3 linked regions of the Nothobranchius furzeri genome follow. The protein of the gene in region 2 binds, or shares a complex with, the protein of the main gene of each other region. Links are inferred from orthologs where the notes say so. Each region holds a gene or a part of one and is shown on either strand. Other genes may lie near its edges.

What was found.
Region 1: gemin5 (region 2) and gemin2 share a complex: the UniProt entries of both Homo sapiens proteins name them as parts of the SMN-Sm complex. The link is inferred for Nothobranchius furzeri from reciprocal best matches to the Homo sapiens genes GEMIN5 and GEMIN2.
Region 3: gemin5 (region 2) and strap share a complex: the UniProt entries of both Homo sapiens proteins name them as parts of the SMN-Sm complex. The link is inferred for Nothobranchius furzeri from reciprocal best matches to the Homo sapiens genes GEMIN5 and STRAP.

What each region holds. Positions count from the first base shown.
Region 1 is NC_091758.1:40,480,630-40,484,383, reverse strand, and holds the start of gemin2 (gem-associated protein 2), read left to right. Parts: upstream 1-1,259; 5' UTR 1,260-1,380; coding exon 1,381-1,502; intron 1,503-1,579; coding exon 1,580-1,661; intron 1,662-1,759; coding exon 1,760-1,849; intron 1,850-1,955; coding exon 1,956-2,042; intron 2,043-2,200; coding exon 2,201-2,317; intron 2,318-2,559; coding exon 2,560-2,604; intron 2,605-2,675; coding exon 2,676-2,744; intron 2,745-3,754. UniProt on the Homo sapiens protein: The SMN complex catalyzes the assembly of small nuclear ribonucleoproteins (snRNPs), the building blocks of the spliceosome, and thereby plays an important role in the splicing of cellular pre-mRNAs.
Region 2 is NC_091750.1:72,369,254-72,372,907, reverse strand, and holds the end of gemin5 (gem-associated protein 5), read right to left. Parts: intron 3,330-3,654; coding exon 3,182-3,329; intron 3,080-3,181; coding exon 2,960-3,079; intron 2,889-2,959; coding exon 2,678-2,888; intron 2,608-2,677; coding exon 2,353-2,607; intron 2,271-2,352; coding exon 2,108-2,270; intron 1,836-2,107; coding exon 1,421-1,835; intron 905-1,420; coding exon 817-904; intron 508-816; coding exon 343-507; 3' UTR 292-342; downstream 1-291. UniProt on the Homo sapiens protein: The SMN complex catalyzes the assembly of small nuclear ribonucleoproteins (snRNPs), the building blocks of the spliceosome, and thereby plays an important role in the splicing of cellular pre-mRNAs.
Region 3 is NC_091741.1:63,716,739-63,720,492, reverse strand, and holds the start of strap (serine-threonine kinase receptor-associated protein), read right to left. Parts: upstream 2,562-3,754; 5' UTR 2,267-2,561; coding exon 2,155-2,266; intron 802-2,154; coding exon 666-801; intron 1-665. UniProt on the Homo sapiens protein: The SMN complex catalyzes the assembly of small nuclear ribonucleoproteins (snRNPs), the building blocks of the spliceosome, and thereby plays an important role in the splicing of cellular pre-mRNAs.

The sequences.
Region 1 (3,754 bases), on a different chromosome or scaffold from region 2:
ACAACCCCAATAGCAGCGTTACAGGTAGAGACGGGTGAGATGCCAATAGCAATCAGACGAGAACGAATAGCTTTAAATTATTGGGCAAATCTTCAGGGTCAGGAAGAAGATCATCCAACACGAGACATACCAAAACCTTGCTGGGAGAAAGAAAAGAAGGAAACAACAAGTTTTGGATGGGTGATGATCAAAAAACCAGTAGAACTTAAATGAGATCGGTTTACAATCAGTCAAAGAGTTCCATTACCTGCTGTTCCGCCATGGATTCTTCCTGAGGCGTCTGTTGATTTATCATTATTAGAGAGAAAGAATATGGATAAGTCTTTCATACTAAACTCACATACAGCACAGGATTATATCGATCACTATTATAACTATGTAAAAATTTATACAGATTCTCGCAATCCTGTTAGCAGTTCGATGGGTGGAAGAAAACAGACCATTATTCTCAGTTATTTGTTCAGACTCCAGCTCATCATTAACCAGTTTAACGTGCAGCCATTCAGGAAGCAGACCAGACATACTCCTAGAGATTCAGCAAACACTTTATAGAATAAACACGATGGGACTTAAAGTACATTTTTTATGGATTCCAGCTCGTTGTGGAATCAGTGGAAATGAAGGAGTCGATAAGATGGCTAAGGAAGCTACAATAAATACTTCGGTTCAGTTAGATGTTCGATTTTGTCAGAAAGAGATGAAGAGCATAAAAAGGCGAGAAATGAAGAAAAAATGGCAAAAACAATGGGAGGAGGAAAGGAGGGGAAGATGGTTGTATAAAATTCAAAGAAGAGTAGGAGAAATAAGAAACACTGGAAGGAGTAGGAGAGAGGCGGTGATCATTTCTAGACTGAGGTTTGGACATACTGGGTTAAACAATACGTTATTCATGATGGGGAAACATAATACAGGGAAATGCGATTATTGTGGAGAAGAAGAAACTATAGTTCATGTTATATTACAATGTCGGAAGTATCAGGCAGGAAGAAGGACATTGATTCAAAATCTTAGACAGATCAAAGTGAAACTAGACCGACAGAATTCAAAAAGCGACTGTTTTCTGATTTTATTTCAGTTTTTAAAAGAGATAAGGATGTTTGGGAGAATTTGATGTATATATGTATTTGTATATATATGTGTATGTATGTGTGTGTATATATATGTATTTTTTTGTTCTTTCTTTCCCGTGTTTGATTTTGTTTTATGAGCGCTGTTCCAGACCACACTCCACACCAGTTGGTGGCGGTAATGCACCATTCGTTGTTCGCCAACCGCCAATAAAACACCAGAAGAAGAAGAAGATGGCGACTGTGCTGTAGTGAAACTTGCGTGTTTTTCATTACCTGATTCGGTTCCGCTGTTCTTTTACTTTATTAGAACATGAAGTCGGACGTGGAGGAGTTAATGCCGAGGCTCCTGCCGCTGGAGACCGGAGGCGGGAGCGGAAACCTGGACTTGAGTGGAACCCCCAGAAACCCCCAGGAGTACCTCCGACAGGTCCAGTATGTTCGAGCCGAACCGTCTCGAGAATCAGAACCATGTTCGACCACGGAGCTTTATAAGTTTGGTGTTTCATTAGGTTGGAGGCCTCTTTATGCCCGGAGGTGGTCGTTGCTCAGATCGATCCCACAAAACTGAAGAAGCAAACTGTTAATGTGTCGGTAAGTGACACACACACACACACACACACACACACACACACACACACACACACACACACACACACACACACCACATGTTTAACATGTTTTGGTTCCAGGTAGCAGGATGTCATGCTGCTCCTCAGGGCTTCTCCCCCAGCCTCAGGTGGCAACAGCAGCAAGTCAGTAACTTCTCTGACGTCAGACAGGTGAGACTTCACAGTAACACACGTTACGAACATGTCCACACAGTAACACACGTTACGAACATGTCCACACAGTAACACACGTTACGAACATGTCCACACTGGACAGTGTCCTTTAGTCACTTTTGTTTCTCAGAGCATCACCAAGAACAGGCAACACTGGAGGAGCCAAATTCTGGATGACAACGTGCAGATGGTGAGATTTTTATTCACTACTCAAACCGAAATCAGCATTCTTTCAAGGGGAGACAGAAATCCCATGTTAAGGTGGATTTGAAGCACCTGTAAGAATCTTGTCATGCAGCATCACACTGGAGGTTTGGTTTATGCAAGCTTGACGCTGGTGTCTTACAGCCGAGGCTGACCGATGAGGAGGGCTGGAAGAGGTTTTGTTTAGGGGAGAACGTTTATCAGGGAACTTCATCCGGCCCGACGGATGCACACCAAGAACCAGCATTGGACTACGGCAAGGTTATACAACTGTTTACACCTTATTGCCTTTGTGAGCGCTTACTCCTCAGAATGAGTTTACCTGATTTAAATCGATCAAAGCTGAGATGTTTCCACATTCTACTTCTCCCACAAAAGCAAACAATCTAAACAGATAAAGTGTATTTATTTAATCCTTTGATGATCCGCCACTCATGAAAATTCTGTGGCACCTTCATGAGACCAAGGAAGTGAAGTCTCACTGATGGTTTGTTTGGGTCTAGATTGGCTTCCCTCCCTTCCTGAGCATCGTAAGCAGACTAAACCAGGTAAACGGGGGTCTACGATGACATCCATGTTGTTTTTAGCCAGTTTAACAGTCTTAATATTTTTGTCTCAGTCCACAGTTCTCATGTTGTTAGATGTTCTGATCAGCTGGTTTGAAGAGCGAGAGTTTGTTCCACAGCTGGTGAGTTTGCTTCTCGTCTCCAGCTGGTTGACAACAAATCTAATGCTAGTGGAAATATAGTTTTTTAAATTTTCGCACGAAAATAAATTGTTAGAACTCCAGGGCCCTCATTCATCAAACAAACTTATGCACAGATCTGCACGTAGGAACAGTTTTACACACTGCATACATGTAGCGACATGAATGGCCATATTTGTGACCCAAAGGTCACACTTCCCCAGCTAGGTCACGCTGTCCTGGCTGAACTTCTGTCCACAGATTATCCATCACAGGAGACGCACAGTCTTCTAGAACCATCTTTAATCTGACTGCCTTTAATCTGTCTGCTGTTCCATCCTAAGATGAAGGACACTTCAAGATTTAAAATAATCATTTTTAATAAACTCTTTTCACTGTTTATTACAAGGTTCATAAATAATCATCACGGTTCATTATAAATGTATTTAATTACTGAAATGAATTATTATTCTTTGGTTAATAATTATTATTTATGATAATCAGTAATGTTTACCAGTGTAAAGAAGGTCATGTACACTTATACACACCATGCAGGACACTGAATTCAGGGTAAAGGTAACCACCTCACATGTCTTTGCTCCATAACCAAAGCTTTCTATCTCTGAGAGGGCGTGTTCTGAGTTTTAATAAAACCCAAAACTCCTCAGTTCAAGCTGACAGTTCTGAACCAACCAAAACCTCTCCGTGGCACGAGAGTCCCAGAGGACAAGGGTCGGCCGCCCGAAGCCTCCACTAAGCTGTTCTGTCACGCTGATAGAATCGCTCCGAATAAACGCCACCTGCACCAGCTGACACAAAACTCCTTCAGAGTTAAGACGCAAACTCAACACCTGTGTGCCAGCGGCAACTCTTGGACCAGAGAGTCGGTACCACTCGCGCCTTCCCTACCGGACCGAGTACCCAGAGGCTGACAACATCCTTCCTTGACCTCCGGATCCACACAGAGGGTCGCCTGATGGGTGAGGTAGAACACAGATTGCGTCTGATGCTGT
Region 2 (3,654 bases):
TGTACAGTAAAATGCTTTAGATCATTCCAAAGCTGCAGGAACTTGTGAGCGAGCTCTGTGTGGGAACGTGTCAGTCATCCATCAGCTCCACTGTTTCACGTTCTGCTTGGTTTTCAGCTGTTGTACATTAAACTGTTTTGTATTTTAATTGTAAACTCTTTGTTTGTCCTGTTCTTTATGGAGCGGGTCGGGCTCTGCTCTAGAACTCAAGAAACAAACGGTTTTCATTTTCATCAGTGGTTCTCCTTCCTGTTGGAGGGAACGGCTGAAATCAACCCTCTGGAGTCCGGGTTCGTTACTAAAGTTCTTTATTTGACAGCAGCGGCGCATGACGAGCTCCGATCAGGAGCAGAGTCTCCGCATGGCCTTCAGAACGCTGCGGCTGCTTCCGTGTTTACGGAGCATTTCTTTGGCCTCCTCCTGGAGAACGTCGGACACGGATGACGAAGACCGGCTGAGATGAAGGAGAACAAGGCAACATTCCACCACATCTGGGCGAGGGAACATCTGGAAAGCAAAAATACCAGAAAGAACTTAGTCGGCAAAAAATGAACGATGTTTAGTAAACGTCCGTCCGGAGTTAAAGCAGGACGAGGAAACTCGTTTTCACCGCTTTGCTTTAGCCTCATGAAGCTTTAACTCCTGATCAGCAGCTGGAGACGTGTGTGTGTGTGTGTGTGTGTGTGTGTGTGTGTGTGTGTGTGTGTGTGTGTGTGTGTGTGTGTGTGTGTGTGTGTGTGTGTGTGTGTGTGTGTGTGTGTGTGTGTGTGTGTGTGTGTGTGTGTGTGTGTGTGTGTGTGTGTGTGTGTTTTTTACCTTGATGGATTCGGGCAGGTCCGACAGCTCCTTCTGATATTTGGACATCTTTGTGGACAAAGACAGAAACGTCTCCTGGTTTTCCGAACTGAACAGAGCACAAAGGTCAAATTAAAAGTCAGGCACCAGATTAGCTCTGGGGACATTTCGTGTGTGGGTGTGTGTGAGAGAGAGAGAAATCTGTCTTCTCGATCCCCAGTGAGTCGTGGAGGATGGCTGCTTATACTGAGCCAGGATTCTCTGGAGGTTTCTTCCTGTTAAACGGGAGTTTTCCTCTCCACTGTCGCTAAATGTTTGCTTAGCATGAGGATTGCCGTATAGTCGCTAACAGTCAGTGACTTGATGCAACCTGCTGGGTTCCTTATATAGGAAACATTATTTCTGATTGGCTTAATGAACTGACCTGAATTGGAATGTTTATTATGTGAAGGTCCTCGAGACGACTCTTGTCGTGATTTGGCGCTTTATAAATAAACTTGAACTTGTTAATTCTGTAATCTGAGTTTTTGTTTAATAATCTGAATAAACAACCAGATTAGTTGTGAGATCTAATTAGATCTAATAATTGGACAAATTGAGAGACACTGGTGTTAAACAGCCTCACCGCTGCTCCGCATCAGCACCGCTCGGACCGTCTGATAAGGGACTTTGGTCCTGTTGGATCCCAGAGTCCAGCTGACTCCCCAGGACGCGGTTGTGCTGCAGAACCATGGCGGCCAGCTGGTCCTGGATCTCCTTCACAGATCTGTGAGCAGCCTGACTGATGGCGTGCGGCTCCGACAGAAGGACAGACACATCAAAGTCCAGTTCCTCCGAATCTGGGTTCTCCAGCTGGTCTTCTGGCTGTTCAGAAGGAAGTCCGTTCTGGACGTCTTGTCTGCCCGCCGAGTCTCTCCACCAGAACCGGTACAGACGGTGGTAGGAGACCATCGCCTGCAGGCTGCTGGCCGCTGCACTGGATGCTTCTGTGGTGGGATGAAGAGTTTTGGAATGTCTCCTGGAGAAAACCCGGATGTCTCCTGGAAAACAAAACGGCTCGGTTTGATTAAAGAGTAAAAATGGAGAAGGTAGCTTCTGACCCGGTCTCTGGTGAGCACACGGGTCCAAAAGGATGAATCAGTGGTTTTGGGTTATGGTTGCAGATCACCACCAGCAGATGGCTGTGGTAGGCCACACACACACACACACACACACACACACACCCACACACACACACACACACACACAGAATTATGGGTTTCTGATCATCTGGAGCTGAATGTGAATGGAAAGGTCCGAATGGGCTCGGTACCGTCGGGGAACAGCAGCCTGCAGAACTCTGCAGAGACACAGAAGTGTCCCTCGTCTCGGAGCCAGGACGCCGCCCGCCACAGCTCCTCCAACAGCTGCTGGCCGTCGTCCACCAACCAGCTCAGCAGCGCCCGGGTCAGGTGGACCGAGCAGTACAGCAGAACCTGACGATAGAGACACATGCACTTCAGCTGATTTAAAGAATGGAAAGTTTGTTGTTTTGGACCGTGCCGGGCCAGACTGGACCTGTCTGAGGGGGATGCTGGTGCTGGGTGTTGGACTCTCCACCCTCCTCAGGTCCTGCAGCAGAACATCTGCGCTGTCGGCTCCAACACCGAACTCCTCCTCCCACACATCAGTGACCCGGTCCAGAAAGAGGGTGGATCTCTGACCTGGCGATGCCCACGGATGGCTGGAGGCGCCGGGAGCCAGAGGGAAGACCTCGGAGCTGTCCAGCAGCGCCGCCAGCAGCTCAGCCACACACAGGTGGATCCTGTGGACCTGAACAGAACCGGGGTCAAACAGCATCTTTACCTGAAACGACCCGCTAAGGTTCTGGTTGGGTTCTCACCAGAAGGCCCGGCTGTGAGCCCAGAACATCCTGCGCTCCGACCCAGTCGTGAGCAGCAGCCAGGTCTCTGGCACATCTCAGAGCCAGCGACTGGGCCAGAGCCTCCTCTCCGGAGATCCGGGCCAGGCTGGCGGCCGTCCTCAGAGACGGAACGTCGTTCTTTCTGGAGACGACTTTGGCTGCATCGAAACCACAGCCAGCAGCGAGGTAACTGGACCGGAACCAGAAGAACCCGTTAGTTCACTAAAGCAGATGCTCTACATAAGTTCTGAAGGTTCTGACCATTTAGCAGCAGCAGACAAATGTCCGTCTCTCTCCAACACAGCGGCCCAAGACGTGTACAGGTTCTTCAGAACCACTTCATCTGCCGGCAGCCGGGCCAGAACCAGAGCGATCGCCTCTCTGACACACAGAACCGCTCCGTTAGCATCCGACAAACATCAGAACCACTCAGTTCTACCTGGGTTCCTACAGGTGAACCCGTCTGGTCCAGCGCTTCAGAACCTGTAGAGCTTGTTGGACTCCAGCAGCGCCACAGCCTGGTACGGTTTGTTGACGGAGAGCAGGTGAGACGCTGCCTTCAGGTACTGCTCCTGCAGACACAGCTGCTTCACAAAGGCCTCCACCGTCCGGCGCCACACCTCAAAGCCAGCTGCAACAGCAGGAAGAAGAAAGTGACACGATGTTCTGACACTTGACTCGGGTCTTTAGCTCACACGGGCAGGACCAGAATAAACACGAATCATCTGACATCCTGGTTCTGGGGCAGAGGCTTAAACAGCCTCAGTTTGGAGAAATACAGGTGCTGGCCAGTAAATTAGAATATCATCAAAAGGTTGAAAATATTTCAGTAATTCCATTCAAAACGTGAAACTTGTACATTATATTCATGCAATGCACACAGACCAATGTATTTCCAATGTTCATTACATTTAAATTTGATATTCATAAGTGACAACTAATGAAAACTCCACATT
Region 3 (3,754 bases), on a different chromosome or scaffold from region 2:
CATTTAATAGAAAACACGTAACAGAAACAAAGAAAGGTTGGTTTTCTTTTTTTTTAAAACACATGCAAAACAGATCGTTTTTCTTCACCAGGACTTTGAGGATGCTGCTGGTGGGAATTTTAGCATGATTTAAACACGTTTTTTTTTTTTCCTGAAATGTTAAAATTAAGAGTTACTCTGAAAACAAGATCATTTTTATGACACAAGGTGAGATCTTGCATGGAGCCCAAGGTTGAGGGAGATTGTGAGTGATCTTGTATTTTTTTTTTCATTTTGTAACAGTTGATCTTCTTTCACCTAGGTGCACCACTTGCACCAAGTGACTTGCTGTATTTTTCTGTTTTGAGGTTTCTAAGATAACACATAAAGAACAAGAAAAAAGTTAAGAAGCTATGATTTGTCTGGTAAATGGGATAGTGAAATTCTTTTTCAGTGGTTCAGTTTACTTCCTTTTTGAAATATGTATGTCCAACAATCTCAATGAGTCCAAACGCACATTTGCAGAGTGTGTGAGTGAAGGGGAGTAGAAAGAGAATATATTATTAATAAAAGACAACTTGTTTTTACAGCTAAACGTTTTAAGAGTGTTAAAAACAAGAAAAAAGTGCATTTTCCAACAAAATTCAAATCATGCATCTCTACATCGAGAGCTGAACCCCACTCACGCTGTGAAGTCTGCAGCAGCTGTGGCTGCCTTGGTGGCGTCTGTATTCAGAGTGGCTCCCCAAACCGCACCTTTGTGACCCAGAAACGTTCCGATCCAGTCCCCTGTGTCTCCCTGGCGCAACATGGGCTTGCCATCTAACAAAAGGAAGAAGGGGATGGTGATGTACTTGTTAAAACTCCCATGAAAAGATCATTAATATGAACTTTCTCAAGACATTGAGTGGCTTTCAAGCAGCTGGTGTAAAATGTTAAAAATCAGTTTTGTATTAATCTGAGCTGAGAAACTGGGTGTTTCTCAAGGTCAAGGAACCTCGCCTTGATGCCTTGGTCCCAGCCCAGTTGCCTAAGAGATACGTCATCAGGAACCGCCAAGACGTGTTCCAATGTTCATGTGCTACAGAGGCGTCTGTCCTTCGTTTGTCCGCCGTTTAGCTAACTGACTGAGAATACATGGGAGGTGTCTTGTTGCCTTCTCTGACTGAAACATTTCTCAGAATACACCACAGTATTTTCAAATGAATGGCGGATCAGGAGCCGGCAGCTACTTCAGGGGCAAATTTCCAGTTTAAATGCAAGTCAACTAATTGTAGCTATCAGGCTGATATCTGAAATATTTTTTTAGATTCAAAGCAATTATCTATGGTTGGTCAGTTGCTTTGCAGTTGCAGATTCGGTGGCAAGCGGGTAGTAACTTGCTTACATATTTAATTTAACCAATATATACATAATTTAAAAAAGTTAAAGGCTAGTTATACATATATATAAATCTAACTTTACCTCACATGTCACATGACGTGATGGCGGGTCACGTGAGATAAGTCTGTTCCATGTAACCGTTTTCTTTAATCCTTGCAGGACAGTGTCCTCTTAAGCACTGAGAAACAGCCACTGCCTTAAATTATATAGAATGTGTAAAGAGGACCAAACTCAACAAATGTTAAAGCTGCTAGCAGAGGCTTATTAGGGGCACCATGGTAACCATCAGTAGCTTATTACTTTCGCCATGGTATTCACCTTCCCGTTTCCCTCACTCCCTGACAGAACACTTGGTGAGGGTCATATGGCTATTCTGACAGAAAGGGAAGCCTAAGACGAATGGTGATGATTTTACTGTTTTTTTTTTTTTTTTTTTGTAATGGAAGAGAATTTTTCAGGTAAAAATTATCTCCACTTTTTGCTTGGAAACAAGTAGGTGAACACAGAGGAAAACTCCTACACGATGACAAATTTGTATTTATATAAAGTTGTGAAAGAAATGTGATTCTTCAAAGAATGAAACCAGATCGTGAACTGAACACATCTGAGGTGATTCAAGTAATGCAGATAGGATTTTCATAAAAAAAGACATCTGAAATAAATCGTTACAAAGTTTCTTTTGAGGCGCAGGTAAGTCAGGGACCAAAGTGAGAGAAGTCTGTGTGAGTGAGACAGGTAAATGAAGATCCTGAGCAGGGCAGCACCTTGGATTTGGACGGCTTGAGGACTCACCTTTGCAGGCGCTGATGAGGAAGTAGCCAAAAGGAGTGATTCCACTGAAAGCCAGGTCCACCACAGGCCGGGTGTGACCGGAGCAGGTGAGAGGGGTCTGTCTCATCGCCATGCTCCTCCAGCTGGACAGAGGACAGAAGACCGAAAGAGGAAGAGTTAGCTGGTCGCTAACGGCTGGCTTACAAGCTAGGTCGGCTAACCAGTAGCCGAGGAATACGAAACGTCTAATTGGCGCGTTGTTATCAAAGCTGTAACGTCCTGCCGTTGTCTGTTAATTAATCTTTTAACAGCCGAGAATTCAAAGTTATTCTGACCAAATGTCGGCTCTCCCCCAGCAAAAGAATGGCTGTCGTGCTAATAGCTACAACATTGCAACTAACTAGCAACGTGCACTGCAGCGTCACAGTGACAGTGTAGTAAAAGAGTTGACGTAACGTAAGCGTGCGGTGCGACCCGTCGCCGCCATATTGTCAGAGTCATTTGGTAAAGCGCACACAGCTGAAAGCTGAGTCTGATTAAAAGTTCTCGACAGAGATACAACATTCCCGTTCTTCTGGCGAACATATATGACTGTGCGAAGGAGTGGGAGCTGTTTGAGCTGTAGTCTGGAAAACTGGGATTTAAAATTGGAATATTGCAGGAATGAATTGTGCTGCTTTGGAATGAAATAAAGTGGCAGGAAAAATAAAGTTTAGACACAGCAGTATTAGAATATGCATTAATGTAGTCAGTAATAATAATAATAATAATAATAATAATTATTATTATTATTATTATTATTATTAGTTCTCAAAATACATATATCATATTTTCCCGGTATTATAAACAGTCTGATCAGTTTTTCATATTCCCCATTTCATTTTTTTTCTACAGTAGGACTAGCCTGGCCTGCCAGACTCTGTGCAGAATTAAACAGAGGAGGAGTATGGCAGGCCAGGCTACAGTAGAAAACCATGAAGTCAGAGACCCATAATAAGCTTGTTGGATCCAGATTTTACACTTTAAATACAAAATAACCCAGTCTGGTTCTAATCCACCTACTACATTATATCAGGTATTTATTCAGTCTGCTGTTTATGTCTCAAAAACTTTAATTTCAAGGATCAGTGTATGTGACAGTGTGAGTGTCCTGTCACAGTGTCACGATTGATCATGTGCCCTGGCTACTTGACATAGGGGATGTCCTTTTGGCTGACTGGTATGAGTGCGTGACTCTCACCCAGGAGCCTGGGGATCAAATCCCGCCCGGGCCCTCATTTCTCCACCCTGCCACATTTATAACATTGTCTGTGGAGGTAAAAATAGCAATATTCTGTACTGTAGAAATAGAAACACGTATGGATTAATCATCAAATGATTTACATCCTGGTGTCTTCAGGGCAGTGCTCTCTCAATCTCTGGTCCTGGAGCTCTTCCATCCAGCATGTTTTAGTTGTTTCCCTGCTCCAGCACACCTGATTTGATGGCTGATACCAGTTCAGAAGACCATCAAGCCTCTAAGCAGGTCATGTGTATTAATTAATTTAGTTCAAATAGATAAATACAATAAAGTTGTTTCTGCATTAATCTGGCCTTGGAGAAGAGTATAGCACCTATGGGT